Macaca fascicularis: one gene and its partners. The protein of the gene in region 2 interacts with the protein of the main gene of each other region in a pairwise test. Links are inferred from orthologs where the notes say so. Each region holds a gene or a part of one and is shown on either strand. Other genes may lie near its edges.

Evidence for each region.
Region 1: the proteins of LITAF (region 2) and UBQLN1 interact in binary tests that used the Homo sapiens proteins (3 or more experiments, as listed by UniProt). The two-hybrid records come from large-scale screens. The link is inferred for Macaca fascicularis from reciprocal best matches to the Homo sapiens genes LITAF and UBQLN1.
Region 3: the proteins of LITAF (region 2) and HIP1 interact in binary tests that used the Homo sapiens proteins (3 or more experiments, as listed by UniProt). The link is inferred for Macaca fascicularis from reciprocal best matches to the Homo sapiens genes LITAF and HIP1.

What each region holds. Positions count from the first base shown.
Region 1 is NC_088389.1:114,293,386-114,299,073, forward strand, and holds part of UBQLN1 (ubiquilin-1), read right to left. Parts: intron 3,387-5,688; coding exon 3,271-3,386; intron 307-3,270; coding exon 44-306; intron 1-43. UniProt on the Homo sapiens protein: Plays an important role in the regulation of different protein degradation mechanisms and pathways including ubiquitin-proteasome system (UPS), autophagy and endoplasmic reticulum-associated protein degradation (ERAD) pathway.
Region 2 is NC_088394.1:12,311,697-12,317,484, forward strand, and holds the start of LITAF (lipopolysaccharide-induced tumor necrosis factor-alpha factor), read right to left. Parts: upstream 3,420-5,788; 5' UTR 3,307-3,419; intron 1,525-3,306; 5' UTR 1,264-1,524; intron 1-1,263.
Region 3 is NC_088377.1:52,095,069-52,100,756, reverse strand, and holds the end of HIP1 (huntingtin-interacting protein 1), read right to left. Parts: intron 3,778-5,688; coding exon 3,669-3,777; intron 2,892-3,668; coding exon of another isoform or gene 2,839-2,891; exon of another isoform or gene 2,401-2,838; coding exon 2,324-2,400; 3' UTR 340-2,323; downstream 1-339. UniProt on the Homo sapiens protein: Plays a role in clathrin-mediated endocytosis and trafficking. Involved in regulating AMPA receptor trafficking in the central nervous system in an NMDA-dependent manner. Regulates presynaptic nerve terminal activity.

The DNA of each region.
Region 1 (5,688 bases), on a different chromosome or scaffold from region 2:
TATCATTTTTTAGCTAAACAAATTGAAAGAACTTTCCACATACTTGTCTCATTATATCTGGATTATTCAACATATGACTAATTTCTGGATTTCTCTGTATCAACTGCTGCATTTGTGGATTGGCCATAATTAATTGTCTCATCAGGTCAGGATTTGAGAGCATGCTCTGAACAAAGGGATTTTCCATGATCTGGACCATCATTTCAGGGTTAGACAAAAGTTGTCGCTGCATCTGACTCTGGAGTTCAGAGAAGTTGGTAGTATTCAAACCCAAGCTACTCAGACCTGCAAGTCCCCCAAGGCCACCTAAGAAGACAAAGGGCAAAAACATACAAACCAAGTCAGAAAATTTATCATTAACATGACATAAACTATGAAGATGCAAAAAAGTATTAGTTGACCCAACAGTCTATCACAAGAAATCATTTAAAAACAAACCGAATACCTATTACTAATATTTAATTCCTATCATTGAAATTAGCCAAAAATTTACACTTTGGTTATTAAATTTAAGTAATAAAATCAACAAAATATATTTTCATGTGTGTAGTATAATACATAAATATATTTGGTCTTTCTCCTTGATCCTGAGTTACTAAAACCTTTGGAATTTTCTGAGTGACAGGAGTATCTTTTATTATTCATTACAAGCCCTTTTTGAAAATTATGCTAATGAAGTGACTTAGGCCCCTGGATAGCCTCAGAAAGGAGCTGGGCACCAGAAAGACAAAGTGATTAAAGGGCTGAAGCTTTCAGCCCCACCCACCAAGAAAGTGAGGGAAGGGAGCTGGAGATAGAGCTCTATGCAAATTCTTGAACAATAAGATTAAGAAAACTCAACATGAAAAGCATATCTGAGTGTTAGGAGAGTTGTGCGCTGAGGGGACCTGGAACCTTTGAGCTGAACTTCCATGCCCCACATACCTTGTGCCCTTATAATTCTCTTTCAAGATTTGTCTGTTTCTGAGTTGTATCCTTTATAATAAACAGGTAAACGTATAAGTGTTTTCTTGAGTTCCAGGTGCCATTCTAGCAATTATTGAACCTGAGGAGGAGGTCAGGGGAACCCCCAATTTAGAACTGGTCAGTCAGAAGTACAGGTGGCCTAGAACTTGTGACTAGTATCTGAAGTAGGGGCAGTCTTGTAGGACTAAGTCTGCTAACTTGTGAGATCGGATACTAACTGTAGGTAGGCAGTATCAGAAAAGAAACTGAATCTTGGACACAGAGCTGGTGTTGGACAACTGGCTGGTGTCAGAAAAAAACACTCCAGAATATGCCAGCTAAAGGAAGAAATAATAAATACACACACCAGACTATAGTTCTAATAATCTTTCCAAAAGACTAGTTTAAGTTCTATTAACAGGAAGCAGAATTCACCTATAAACTCTGGGTACAAGAGGGCTGATACTGCCAATCAAGGATACAGAATGCCAGGGAACACTTGGAAATAGATTTCTCTTTGGAGGACTTAAACCAAGGAGAAACCTAACAGAGCAACAGGATGACCAAGTGCTTACTTTGGTAATCACAAAGTGTTTACTTTGTAAAATTACATAACCAACCAAATGCATTCATTCCTCACTTACTAAGCACTTTTTATATATGCCAGAGACTGTGCTACACATGTATTGAGAATAAGGCAAAGAGAAAGACATTCTCAGAACTCAATCTAGTGGGAAAGACAGACAAGAAAATAAATGTCTACACAGATGTTAAGTACTTCAGTAAAGAATATTCACAGGATATTATGGTAATATAACCTAAGTGGAATGCCTACTTTCAGAAGAAGAGACAACACTTAATGAGTCTGGAGCATAAATACTTTGCAAGGAAACGTAAAGAAGGTTAGGAGGGGGACTGAATACTAGGCACAATGAACACCATATACAAAAAGCACAGAGATAAATGTATTAATGCATTCTTGAAACCACAAAAACTTCAGTATGACTAACTACAGTAGCAGATTGCAGTGCTCACCAAACATTTCATTTTGCAGCCTTATTATTTCTTTTGCACTTGGACAGGCCTATGTGAAATGCCAAAGGACTACAAGAAATGGTATGTGCCACTTCTGGTCAAAGTATAGCAGGTTCAACTTAAAACCCTTTAGCTGTCTCTTCTGCCATGTTCCAAACGGTAGAGCTATAATACAGCAGAATGAAAAACGACTTTCATTACCTTGAGTCTCTGAGGGACTATATGGACGGGCACCTTACAAACCGGTAAAAAGCAAGTAGCATGCAGAAAAATGTAGCAAGAAATGAAGCTTTGTTGTAATAAGCCACTGAGTTTGGCTATCTATTATCAAAAGATAATGGATAACAGCACTTCGGGGGATCACAAGGTCACGAGATCTACACCATCTGGGCTAACACAGTGAAACCCTATCTCTACTAAAAATGCAAACAAATTAGCCGGGCGTGGTGGCACACTCCTGTAATCCCAGCTACTCAGGAGGCTGAGGCAGGAGAATCGCTTGAACCCGGGAGGTGGAGGTTGCAGTGAGCCCAGATCACGCCACTGCACTCCAGCCTGGGCAACAGAGCAAGACTCTGTCTCAAAAAAAAAAAAAAAAAAAAAATCTTCCACAGAACCTCAATATATAAATCTAATACAGGCCAGGCACAGTGGCTCACATCTGTAACCCCAGCATTTTGGGACGCCAAGGCAGGACGCCATAAGCCAGGAGTCTGAAGCTGCAGTGAGCTATGATGGCACCACTGCACTCTAGCCTCAGTGACTGAGCAAGATCCTGCCTCTCTTAAAAAATAAAACAAAACTAATATAATAAAAGCAAAAGCAGTTTTAGGCTAGGCTGGCTTCCCAGACCCCTTTCCATGTGTTCAGGACAGTTACAAAATAACTAATGCAGTCTGATTCTTTCCTTTTACTGATGAAAAAATTATGATTCAGGGACGCTGGCTTATGATTAATAACCAGCTAACAGAGCGAGATTCCGTCTCAAAAAAATAAATAAATAAATAACCAGCTAATCTTACTCATACTAAATTATGTGGTAGTCAGATCAGGTACACACACACTACATCTCTTTCATTATTAAAAAGAAAGGCACCAACTGATATGTAAGAATATCCATATCCCTACCTATTTCCTTAATATCTACAATTATAGGAATATATAAGTTTTTTTTTAAATTTTTGTTGTTAAAGTGACATAACGTTTTCTTTTCTCATTTTATCTGAAGCTACCCAGGAAGGGAAAGGAGTATTTTTTCCCATCCCTATGGAGATGACTAAAGACACTTACCTAAACCAAAAGGGTTGCTAGTAGCAGAACCAGATGTGGAGTTACTATTAGGAGTTGATGATGTGGTAACATTGCTTCCAGCGGTATTTGTTTGCTGAGCTGAATGATCCTGAGGCCTAGGGAAAATAATTAATCACAGAGTAAGCAGTAGAGCTGATTATTTTTGAAAGAACCACTGAAATCCTGACATCTAGAAATAAAGAGTAAACTCTCAGATGAAATCAAATTATCATTTAATAAAAAGCCTGAGAAAACTAAGCGTTAGGAACAAAAAGTACAAAATAAAATAAAATCCTGCAAAATACAAAATATGCTGCAATTGCCCCTCCTCTCTGAGTATAACGTACATAAATATTTCATTAGTTTTAATCATATTGCTTATGTAACAGAGGGAGATAGGTTATTTCATAAGAGGGAAGTCAGTAACCAGTTACACCCACAAAGTTTGACTATATAAAAAACTTCTTTATCTTGGCCAGGTGTGGTGGCTCACGCCTGTAATCCCAGCACTTTGGGAGGCCGAGGCAGGTGGATCGCCTGAGGTCAGGAGTTCAAGACCAGTCTGGCCAACATGGTAAAACCCTGTATCTACTAAAAATACAAAAATTAGCCAGGAGTGGTGGTGCATGCCTGTAATCCCAGCTACTCAGGAGGCTGAGGAAGGAGGATTGCTTGAACCTAGGAGGTGGAGGTTGTAGTGAGCCAAGATTGTACCACTGCACTCCAACCTGGGCGACAGAGTGAGACTCTTTAAAAACAAACAAACAAAAAAACCCACAACTTTTTTATCTATCCCCTTCTAGTTTTTGAGGGTTATGAGCCAGTTTTACTAAGGCCCCTGAAATTCTTGAAAACAATAAAAAGTGAGAGTTCACCAAAAGAAAGTCAATCAATATGATTAATAATTATTACCTTTTTTTTTTTTTTTTAAAGACAAAGTCTTGCTCTGTCACCCAGGCTGGAGGTGCAGTGGCATGATTTCGGCTCACTGTAACCTCCCCCTCCCAGGTTCAAGCGATTCTCCTGCCTCAGCCTCCTGAGTAGCTGGGACCACAGGTGCACATCACTGTGCCGGGGCTATTTTTTGTATTTTTAGTAGAGATGGGGTTTCACCATGTTGACTAGGTTGCTCTGGAACTCTTGACCTCAGGTGATGGCCCTGCCTCACCCTCCCAAAGCGCTCAGATTACAGGCGTGAGCCACTGTGCCTGGCCTGATTATTATTTAGTATTATCTCTAAAAGGAAATAAGCCAGGCAAGGTGGCTCACACCTGTAAAGCCAGCACTTTGGGAGGCCTGATCTGAGGTCAGGCGTCTGTGACGAGCCTGGCCAACATAGGGAAACCCCATCTCTATTAAAAATACAAAATTAGCTGGGCATGGTGGCGCATGCCTGTAATTCCAGCTACTTGGGAGGCTGAGGCAGGAGAATCACTTGAGCCTGGAGGCAGACGTTGGAGTGAGCCGAGATCGTGCCACTGCACTCCAGCCTGGGCGACAAGAGCAAAATTCGTCTCAAAAAAAAAAAAAAAGTAAAGAAATAAAGAAAACCTTTCCATGATACCAGACAAGAGTTTTGAATCTCACTCCTTGCTTCTTTCCCTGACTTTAGCTAAGCACACATTTTTCCATTTTAACATCTCTGAAATCAGGATCTGTCTTTCAATTGCTGACAGCCAGGCATCAACTACATTCCTGCACATGTAGTCTACATGACTTCAACTGAATGCCTGGCTACACTGTTGTACCATACATGACAGGCTTAATTACCACATTAAGTGTCTTCAAAAAAATTACACCATTAATCGGCACTGACAGAAGTTATCATGTATTCAGAATAGCACCAAAATAGAAGGAATATTTTGAATGAGTAAAGCAAGTATTTGCTGTTGGTGAATACCAGCATAAAAACTTACAGAATGAGTGTTAATGGCTTGGAACAAAATCCTGGAGAAAATACTGGAGAGCTCTTTTAAGAAATGCTGCACCACCAACACTCTTTGACAGAACAGAATTTGATACTGTATGAAAAAATATGGACACTGACAACTAAGTCTTTGTATGTCATGCAAGAGTGATACGATAAAATTCCATACCCACGTTAAGTCTAAAGGAGCTCTTCACTAAGCATAAAATAAACCTTTTAAGTGACAAGAAAACATCAATTCAGTTAGCAGTATTCTTTCGTAGTGATACACAAAGGTATCTCTTTAAAATTGGTGGTGCCAGCTGGACACTGTGGCACACCTACGGTCCCAGGCTGACATGGGTGCATCACTTGAACCCAGCCAGGGCAACACGGCGTGACTTTCTCTCTTTCAAAAAAAAAAAAAAAGTTCCTTAGACTTAATGAAATATGATTATCAATTTGTGGTTTGCTAAGGAGATAAGTCATTCACGATCTTTGTCTAAAAATTT
Region 2 (5,788 bases):
CAGACAGGGTTTCACTGTGTTAGCCAGCATGGTCTTGATCTCCTGACCTTGTGATCTGCCTGCCTCAGCCTCCCAAGCTGCTGGGATTACAGGCATGAGCCACCGCACCCAGCCTTTTTTTTTTTTTTTTTTTTTTTTTTTTTTTTTTTTTTGAGACAGAGTCTTACTCTATCTCCTGGGCTGGAGCTGCTCACCTCAGCTTTGACCCCCTTGACCTCCTGGGCTCCAGTGATCCTCCTGCCTCAGCATCCCGTGTAGCTGGAACTACAGATGCACACCACCACACCCGGCTAATTTTTCTGTATTTTTTGTAGAGATGGAATTTTGCCATGTTGCCCAGGTTGGTCTTGGACTCCTGAGCTCAAGCAATCCACTGACCTTGGCCTCCAGAAGTGCTGGGATTTACAGGCGTGAGCCACTGCACCTGGCCGAAACAATTTTTGTTTTGTTTTGTTTTGTTTTGTTTGAGTCGGAGTTTCGCTCTTTTACCCAGACTGGAGTGCAGTGGTGTGATCTCAGCTCACTGCAGCCTTTACCTTCTGGGTTCAAGCGATTCTCCTGTCTCAGCCTCCTGAGTAGCTGGGATTACAGGCACTTGCCACCACATCGGGCGATTTTTTTTTTATTTGGCATTTTTATTAGGGATGGATTTTACCATGTTGACCAGGCTGGTCTCACACTCCTGACCTCAAGAGATCCGCCCGCCTCAGCCTCCCAGTGTTGGGATTACAGGCGGGAGCCACCACGCACAGCTGACAAATTATTTTTAAAATCCAAAATGTTTCTATTTCCTATTTTAATGCAGAAAAGTGTTACCCTGAACACTGACCTAATGCATCACGTATAACATGGTTCTAGGTCAACTACAAAGGGCCTCTCCACTTTGATTTTTTCATGCGTCTTACATTTCAGTATCTTTACTCTTCCATGGAAACTTCGCTTCTTTAAGCCGGATGGGATCTGAGCGAGCGCCCCTTGCTACAGGGGGGAAGCCCTTGCCTCTCAGATACCTACCTTCCCAGACACCCCCTACCAAGCTTCTTTTTTGTTTTTGAGTCAGGGTTTGCTCTGTCACCCAAGCTGGAACACAGTGGCACAATCTTGGCTCACTGTAGCCTCTACCTCCCGGGCTCAGGTGATCCTCCCACCTCAGCTTCCCAAGTGGCTGAGGCTACAGGCACACACCACCAAGCCTGGCTAAACAAGCTTCTTCCAACCTGATCCCACCCCCCTAGGAACCCGGGTGTAGACGGCCTCTCTTACCTTTGCTGCACACGCGTCGCTCCTTCCTAGCCCCAGGGGCTGTGTCATGCACATGACCAAGGCTGGCCAGTAGCTACCCAGCATCTCCTGAGCCTCATTGATTGCTCCAGTGATGGGCATGTGATCCAAGCTGAGCCAATGACAATCAACCCCAAGACCCTTGCTGAAGCTCCTTGAATAAGACGAATTGTTTACAAGGCTGGTGAGATGAAAGCCTGGAGCTGTCCGGCACCATCTTTACCAGCAGGTAGAGCAAGCCCACTGGAGAATGAATCCAAGACGGAGAACAGCAGGGCTTGGAGATGGAGACAGGTCCCTGACAGCATGGTCCGAGCTTCTGGATCCAGCCAGGCCTGAAGCTCTTGCCCTCCCCACTTCCCAGTGACACAATACATTCTGCAATGGCATAAGCCAATTCCAGTGGGATTCTGGTTTTTGCAGCATTCTGCTATTCATCCTGACTAATGTACTAGACTTAAAAAAACACAAGGCCTGGGTGCGGTGGCTCATGCCTATAATCCCAGCATTTCGGGAGGCAGAGGTGGGCAGATCACCTGAGGTCAGCAGTTCGAGACCAGCCTGGCCAACATGGCAAAATGCCATCTCTACTAAAAATACAAAAATTAGCCAGGTATGGTGGTGCACGCCTGTAGCCCCAGCTACTCTGGAGGCTGACGCAGGAGAATGACTTGAACCCGGGAGGCAGAGGTTGCAGTGAGCCGAGAACGTGCCACTGTGCTCCAGCCTGGGTAACAGAGCAAAACTCCATCTCAAAAAATAAATAAAAATTCAAAAATTAGCTGGGCGTGGTAGCACACGCCTGTAGTCCCAGCTACTCGGGAGACTGAGGCAGGAAATCATTTGAACCCAGGAGGCGGAGGTTGCAGTGAGATTGCATCAGTGTACTCCAGCCTGGGCGACAAACTGAGACTCTGTCAAAAAAAAAAAAAAAAAAGCCTGTGATTCTCCATTGGCCCAAAACAAGCACAGTCCTGCAGAACACAAAGACACAGTTGCTCCTTGAAAGATTCACAGGAAGGGAAAAATACTTCCCATTCTGTTGTAATGAATCAATACCCAAATAAGACCTGGTTCGTTTCTCAAGCAGGTAATCCTGCCCAACAGCCATGACTCATCCCAGCCCCAACCAGCCCTGAGGTTGGTGGGGCCCCAGATAACTCGCTATACCTGGGGCCGCCCCAGATTTTCCATGTTCACGTGTCTTCTCTCCTTTCACTTCTAGCTAAGAGTCCTGAGAACTCTTTCTAGAGTTCCAAGTAAACACTTTGCAGAACGCCCAACCCAGATCAACACACAGTAGATGCTCTCAGCGCACAAGGAGACATCCGGAGATCTTGCTTTTACTGAAAGTATCCAATCAAAGGGAAAAGACAAAGTTGGTCTTGACCCTTTGTATTTTTATAATTTTTTTTTTCTTTTAGCCAAGCTCTTGCTCTGTTGCCCAGGCTGGAGTGCAGTGGCACGATCATAGCTCGTTGCAGCCTCAAACTCCTAGAGTCAAGGGATCTTCATGCCTCAGCCTCCAAGTAGCTGAGATTACAGGTATGTGCCACCACGGCTAGCTATTATTTTTTTTTTTTACTTTTTATTTTTTGAGACTGAGTCTTGCTCTGTCATCCAGGCTGGAGTACTGTGGCGTGTTCTCGGCTCACTGCAACCTCCACCTCCCGGGTTCAAGTGATTCTCCTGCCTCAGCATCCCTAGTAGCTGGGATTTCAGGCGCACACCACCATGCCCAGCTAATTTTTGTATTTTAGTAGAGATGGGGTTTCGCCATGCTGGCCAGGCTGGTCTCGAACTCCTGACCTCAAGTGATCTGCCCACCTTTGCCTCCCAAAGTGCTGGAATTACAGGCGTGGGTCACTGCTCCCAGCCTATTTTAGTTTTTTTAGAGAATGGCATCTCACTATCTTGCCCAGACTGGCCTTGAACTCCTGGCCTCAAGTAATCCTCCCGCCTCACCCTCCCAGAGTGCTGGGATTACAGGCATGAGCCACAGCACCCGGCCTCACCCCCTCTTACCAAGTGCTGAGCTGGCACCCAGGACCTCAGCAGCAAAGGGAGCTTCACAGGCATCAGATGAGGAAGGCTCAGAAGGCTGAGCACAGGGAAGGAGGCTCTGTCTGCAGGACACTGAGGACTTTGGGGAAGGCACTCAGCCGGGAAGTCAGACATGACCTCATCCTAGTTGAGGTTCCCTAGAAGCAGAGCCTGTGATGGAGATGTGGGTGCATGTGGTTTTCTGGAAGTGAGGGTTCTCGGAAGAGGAGAGTAAGGAGACAAGGGGCAGGAGGAAGAACAGCAGACAGGTCCCAGCTGGAGACCTGATCCCAGGGCAGGTCTGAAGCATGAGTTTTCTGAGTCAGTCCTGCCCAGAGGCAAGGGGGCCCTGCTGAGGACCTGTCCTCGGTCAGTCGGTCCCTCTGGGCTGCCAAGAAGGGTGGGTGAGGGGTGGGAAACAGCTGTGAGCAGTCAGCGGCTACACTTGAAGCCGCCGGCCCCTTCCTTCCTCTTCTTGGCTGCACACCTGCTTTTGGGGAAGGAGCTTGTGAACCGGTTGCAGCCGGGGTGGGAAGAATTAAAGAGACACTCCTGAGCTCAGTGCTTGAGGGCCCAGGGCTTCAGAGGCCGAGGCAGCTGGGATCGAATCTTGATTCTGGGTTGACTCAAGTCTCCTGCATGGAGCTCCAGGGGCGCACAGCTCATGGGGTGCGGTACGGATCACCATGGCCATGTGCTAGGCGCTTTTTCCCCAACAGCCCGGCGCATGGCAAGTGCTCAATGAATCATGGCTTTGCAAACATCTCCAAGTGTCACAGGCCTGGCCTCTATGGTGGGAGATTTACCATCAGTCGCCAGGTGTTGGGGAGGGAAGAGAAGGAGTTCCGGTGTCTTCCTGAACTCATTCCAGCACCCACAGGCGCTGAGTGCACTTCTACCTGGGTCAGGTCTTGCTCCTTCTCACTGAGTGTGAGGCGGACACACAGGACCCCGGCAGAATGGAGGTCATGAGAGTCCAGATAGGAACCAGACCCGTGGCCTTGGGGGGATCCAGACCTCTGTGTTTGGGAGTCCTGGCTTCCCCAACTTCCCCTCCTAGCCTCAGCCCCTATGGATGGGAAAAGTACTCCCAACTGGCATGACCAATCGATTGGTTTGGGGCACAAATCTGGGTCCTCTCCGAGGAGCAACTTGGCAGGAGGTACAGGCAGTCTGGCCTTGGCCTTGGCCTGAGTGCTACTTTGAAAGTGCTTCAAACTCGCCAATGATGTTCTAAAGCCCTGATGACAAACCCCAGCCTTCCGCAGGCCCTGCTCTGGCGGGGACACCCCTTGGGCCTCATTGCAAACCACACGACCCACCTCCTGTGCCCCGCCTGCTCCAGGCACACGGGAGTCCCTGTTGCTCTACAGCTTCAGGTCTCTCGGGCGGCAGTGCCTTCCCCTACCTGCCCGTGGCCAGCTTGTCTTTTTTTTTTTGGTAGTCAGACAGGGTCTCATTCTGTCGCCTAGGCTGGAGTGCAGTGGTGAGATTAAAGCTCACCTCAGCCTCACCACAATCCTCCCACCTCAGCTTCCTAGATAGCTGGGACTACAGGCACCCACCACCACATCCAGATAATGTTTTTATTTTATTTTTTTTTCCTAGAGACAGGGGTTGGGGTGATCTCACTATGTTGGCCAGGCTGGTCTTGAACTCCTGGCCTCAAGTGATCCTCCTGCCTCAGCCTCCCAAAGTGCTAAGATCACATGCATGGGCCACGGTGCCCGGCCTGCCATTACCTTTGACACATGGACAAGAGGTAGCCACCCGTGAGTAGCAGTAGCCACGATAATAGCAATCATTTCTCTTTGCACCCGACTCATTTAAGCACTGTCTGCTTATTTTTGATATTATTGTCCCTGTTTTACATTTGCAGAAACTGAGGCTTAACAAAGTTAAAGTCACCTGCCCGTAGCATGTGGTGGATTTGGGATTTGGACTCAGGGCTGCAGAAAATAAATAACCAGGTTGCCATGGCGTAAGTGCACTGCAGGAGAAGTTGCTTACAGGTGAGGTATCAATGTCCTGTGGCTGCAATTATCACATTACCACAAACTGAGGTGCTTAAAATGACAGCAATGCATTCTCTGTTCTAGAGTCTAAAAGCTTGAAATCAAAATGTCATCAGGACCACCTCCCCCTGGAGGATCTGAGGAGGGTCCTTTCTTGCTTCTTTCTGCTTCTGATGGCTCCAGGCATCCTGGGGCAGGGGGCTGCATCACTCTGCACATGGCCTTTTTTTTTTTTTTTTTGAGACAGGCTCTCACTCTGTTGCCCAGGCTGGAGTGCAGTGGCGTGAACATAGCTCACTACAGCCACAACCTCCTGAGCTTAGATGATCCTCAGCCTTCTAAGTAGCCAGGACTACAGGCACACGCAACCACAGCTGGCTAATTTTTTTGTATTTTTGGTAGAGAGGGGGTTTCACTACATTGCCCAGTCTGGTCGCGAATTCCTCGGC
Region 3 (5,688 bases), on a different chromosome or scaffold from region 2:
ACAGGGTCTCACTCCGTCACCCAGGCTGGAGTGCAGTGGCACAGTCAGGGCTGACTGCAGCCTCAACTTCCCAAGCTCAAGCAATTCTCCCACCTCAGCTCCCCAACTAGCCGAGACTACAGGCATGTGCACCATCATACCCGGCTAATTTTGTTTTTGAATTTTAGTAGAGACGAGGTCTCGCTATGATGCCCAGCCTGGTCTCAAACTCCTGAGCTCAAGCAATCCTCCCGCCTTGGCCTCCTAAAGTGCTGGGATTACAGGCGTGAGCCACTGTGCTCAGCTGGGCAGAGAATCTTAATTTGATCCAGTACACTAGACTTTTTGCCCCATTTGTAATTTGTTTTTTTTGGTTTTTTTGGAGACGGAGTTTTGCTCTTGTTGCCCAGGCTGGAGTACAATGGCGTGATCTCAGCTCACTGCAACCTCTGCCTCCGGGGTTCAGGAGATTCTCCTGTCTCAGCCTCCTGAGTAGCTGGGATTACAGGCACCCGCCACTATGCTTGGCTAATTTTTGGTATTTTTAGTAGAGACGGGGTTTCACCACATTAGCCAGGCTGGTCTCGAACTCCTGACCTCAGGTGATCCACCTGCCTTGGCCTCTCAAAGTGCTGGGATTACAGGCGTGAGCCACGGGTACAGTGGTGCCCGGCCACCCCATTGGTAATTTGAAACGTATGAGTTGGAATGGCTGAGATCTAGAAGTGAGGACTAGCTACTTTTGGAAATGTTGACCCGCATCAAGAACACACTGATTGGTTTAGTTGCCACAACTGGGACAGGGAAGCCATGCACCATTCCTTCTGAGCCTTGAATAAAAAAAAAATACTAAGCAGAAAGCAGCATTCAACACAAGACTGCCCAATTTCTGGTGCTGATACTTCCTTAGCCCAGTATGGAGGTCACACCTCTGAGTATGGTCATCCGAGGTCCTGGGAGAGAGTTTTTTGAATGTCCCACTTAGAAAATGCACAGAGAGGGAGTTGGGGAGGGGGGTGGGCTAGGGAGATGGGGGTTGGTTCACAGTGATCAAACAGAAGTCTCACAACCCGTCATGTAGCAAAACCTAGCAATGTTCTGTTGGGGCAGATCCTGGGAAGTGCATGATGGCTACCACCAATGAGTTGCTATAGATAAAGAAGGAAGACGCTGTTTTTCCAAGATCAGAAGGTCACTTAAATGCTGGGGTCCATCTAGAACAGGAAAAGTGCTGTTGGGCTGCCCATCCCTGGCAAACTGTTCATGTGCCCTCTGTCCTCATCCTGTCCACAGGGCAGCGAGAGCCTGGGGCATATGGCTGAAAGGAGTTAGAGCCGCTGGCTCTGTCCTTTCTCGTTTTCTCTGACTCAAGAGCTCTGAATGATCTCCTTGCTTTGGGATCCAAGTCAGTAACAGTCCAGCACCTTGGCCTTGCTTCTGATTCTTGAAGGCTGATGTAGCCGGGCAGAAAGATGAGCCTTGCTATAGTCACACCTGAAGTCCTGATTGCTCCAAGCATCTCTTTGTAGGCTGTTGCTGCTTAAGGGAGGTTAGTAATAAATACTAAGGGTAGCAAACCAAGTATAGAGTTCTTTCCTGTTGGGAGCAATTGCGTCTGATCTTCCGGGTTTGTCAATTGCGTAGAAGGTGGAACGATCTTTTTATTCAAGAGGATGCCAAGGCAGACGTCTGCAGAAAGGAGTTGGGAATCGCTCCCACGCTCCCTCTCTGGGCCAAGGGAGATGGCCCACTTGACACAGACCGTTCATGGACAGTTCATTCCGGCGGGGAAGTAGTGTTGATCTCACCAGTTCCATTCAAGCATGTGATAAAAATTTTTGAGCCTGGTCACAGGAACTCCTAAGAAACGTGTCCTGTGAAGACCTGGGCTGTGTGAACCCTCTTGTCCCTCTTTCTGTTGTCTTCTCCCTTGTGAAGGTGGACAGAGGCTTTCCGCTGGGGTTCAGCTTTAGGAGGGAAAGGCACTCACTCCTTCTGCCTTTTGAGGAAAGCTGTCACTCAGCAGCTCCGCCTGACCCTGGAGCATGGACTGGGTGGGCCAGCACTTGCTCAGCGTGGAGGCGGAGGTGGAGCACCGAGAGGCCTGGACAGCACCATCGCCGGAGCTGCCACAGTGGGGGGCCCTGGAGACTCAGCTCCAGGTGTGTGCCCTTTGGGAGAGTTGGCTATGTGAGTGAAACTTAAAAAAAAAAAAATACAACCAAAAAACCCAACCAACCACCATAAGAAGCAGTGGAAATCCATGGCACTGCCCAAAGAAGGGGAGAATGGCCTTGGCATTCACAGCCAGGACACTCCTGCTGTCCTTCTGACTGTGCAGATTTCAGGGTAGTGTCCTGGTTTGGAATCCATCAGCCCTCTGATGCTCACAAGTTTGTGCAAATGATGAAACTGAAAAGACTGAGAAGAAAACAGAAAAGAAAAGGCGTAAGATCTTCCCTCTCCAAGCTGTCAACGAACAACAAGCAGCCCCTCTATTAAGGATACCCATTGTTGTGGGGGTCAAATAGTCAGCAGGACTGGATGGAAGTCCTCTCTGTTGAGTGGCCCTATCCCCCACCACCCCTCTTTGCACCTAGGCTTGCTCATGGGCAGCACTGGCCAGCCTGGATGCTAACTAGGGAGGCGGGGAAAGAACAGAGATGACCATGAGTCCAAACAGAAAGGGTGTCGCTATGGAGGGAGTCTTTGGAAGTGTCATGCAGGTCCTCGGCATTGGGTAATGGCAGTGGTGTGGCTGCCCCTGGGACTCCAAGGATTTGGCCTGTGGCTGGGGAAATGACACACACGAGATAGGTAATAAGGATTTACACTGACATATGGGGTATCGGTTTGGCTCTATTCTTTTTCGGTTACCGCTTCTTGCAGTGTAGGTGGAGATGCCTCTGTTCCTAAAAGACAATGATAATTTATGTTGCAAAGCACTTCATGCATGCATACACTCACTTAACCAAAAAACCTGCCACCATGGGGGCTCAAAAATACATTATAATTATAACCATGGTGTAATCACCTAGTCCCCGAGTTTGGTGTCTAGGAATGACTAGGATCTGTCTATGGTTGGTGCCCAGAGTCTGTCAAATCCCATAACAGTCAACAATCTTGGTTGTGATCAAGTTGACTGCTTTCGACATGCAGACAGCAACATATAGACTCAAGGTGATGGATGGCAAGTCTCTGGGCTGGCAGGCTGAATGTGACTCCATGCCACTCCGTTTCTCAGCACCTGATCCCTTCTATCCTTTGGCAATTGTTGCCCTTCACTGGCTCTAGATAGTCAGAATCTTGTAATTCACTTGTCCCTGTCTGCCAGATCTCCACTGACCACTATTCTTTCGTTTTTCAACTCTCTGCTGGCCAGAAACTAAATTCCCAGGGAGTTAGCAAGGCTAGCTGGGCCTGGGAGGGAATGGCAGTGAATGAGTTATGATCAATGTTTAGGTCTTAAAAGGTGACAACAAAAGCTTTTAATTCACCATAATTTCACCCAGAGTTAGACTTAAAGGTTATTTACAACAGAAGAGAAAATAGGTTCCATGAGGAGAGAAGAGAAGGAAGAAGCCACTGATCTGGTGGGTTCCTTGTTCTGTTCCATTCTAGGGGAAGGCCCTGTCACACAGCTTCCCCTCCCTGCTGTGGGTTAGTGCCCGTCCTTGGAGTCAGCTCACCTTCTTCCCAGCCCTCAGCAACACCAGCAAGCTCGTAGTGCTTTTTCCGAAGCTCTCCCAGTTTTTGACGCTCCTTCTGCAATTCATTTTCTAGCTCTAGCACCCTAACCTGTAAGGAAAGTGAGTGGGATTTTCTTTTGATCAGCTCTCTGAGATTTAATTTTTATGTATATTTTTTATAGAGATGGGGTCTTGCTCTGCTGCCCAGGCTGGTAGTGAACTCCTGGCCTCAGGAGATCCTCCTGTCTTGGCCTCCCAAAGTGCTGAGATTACAGGCATGAAACACCATGCCCAGCCTACATCTATCTTATTTTGATTACCCCCTTTCTGCTGCATTGTGAATTCCTCTTCTTCTGCATTATTCACCCTGTTTCCATACTTTATCTAGTCCTCAATTTCTGTTCTCTTTTTGCTCTAATTTTTCCATTCTCCGATTCATTTATCTATCCCAGTAGCTCTTATGTTTTACTCACTGTGATCCTCTACTGGAAGTGAATGATGCTTTACAAATACCTAAATGGGAGGTGGGCTTATCTTCTGTTGCTCTGATAAATCACTATCTAAAAACAACTTTAATGTTTAGCCTAACTGTATGGTGAGTGCCAATCTAGTTGTAAACCTTCTTCAATTCCAGTTCCCTGGAAACCCAGGTAGGAACCAAGTATGATGGTTCTGATATCTTTCAGGTATTTGTGCAACTTAGGCTTATTACTGCTACAGGAAAAAGCATGGACAGTCTTACTAAAGGAAAAGGTGATCTTGCCTAGCTCTACTTCTCATTAATGTAATTTATTTTATTTCTTAATTCAAGGAATATTTGCTGGCCAGGCACAGTGGTTCATGCCTGTAATCCCAGCACTTTGGGAGGTCAACGTGGGTGGATCATTTGAGGTCAGGAGTTTAAGACTAGCCTGACCAACATGATGAAACCCCATCTCTACTAAAAATATACAAAATTAGCCAGGTGTGGTGGTGCATGCCTGTAATCCCAGCAACTTGGGAAGTTGAGGCAGGAGAATTGCTTGAACCCAGGAGGCAGAGATTGCAGTGAGCCAAGATCACACCATTGCACTCCAGCCTGGGCAACAAGAGCAAAATTCCATCTCAAAAAAAAAAAAAAAAAAAAAAAAAAGGAATATTTGCTGAGCACTGATCATGTCCCTGCTTACCTTATAGAGGGAAAAGACAAATGAAGGAGAAAGATCAGATTGCAAAGAAATGACACAGGGAAGTGTAATAAAGCCTAAGAATAGTCAGCCAGGTCTAGTCTCAGAAAGTCATTTTTCAGCTTTTGTGGCCTTAAGAGCTCAGCTGCCTGGAGACCTGGAGAATAATATTCCAGGCAGAAGAAACAGCCAGAGCAAAGGCTCTAAAGCAAGACAGATCTGGAGGTGTTGGGAGAAGGAAGGAAGTTGTATATGAGACATATGATAGAGGGGTAGGGTTGCAGGATGAAGTTGAGAACCAGGCAAGGATCATTTTTCACCCAGGCTCATGACCTGATGAGGAGCTTGGATGTTGTACATGCAATGAAAAGCCACTGGGAGGATTTAAGCAGAGAGGGGACATCCTGAGATTTACATTTCTAAACTATCACATGGGGAATGAATGGACTGTAGAGGGTCAAGAGTAGAAGCAACTAGACCCAGTGAAGTGGTTCCTTTTTTGTTTTGAAACAACTTTTTATTATGGAAAAAGTAAAACATCTACAGAGGGACGGAGACTAGCAGAGTGACCTCACTGTGCTCTTCACCCAGCTCCACCAACTAACTAACCATATGACCAGACTTGCCTCTGCAATGCTCTTTGCTATTCTCCCCACCACCTGATCGTGCCATGGGATTATTATTATCATTATTTTTAGAGACAGGGTCTCACTCTGTCACACAGGCTGGAGTGCAAGAGTGTGATCACAGCTCCCTGAAGCCTCAAACTCCTGGATTCAAGTGATCCTCCTGCTTCAGCCTCCAGACTAGCTGGGACTGCAGGCATGTGTCCCAGCTAATTTTTAATTTCTATG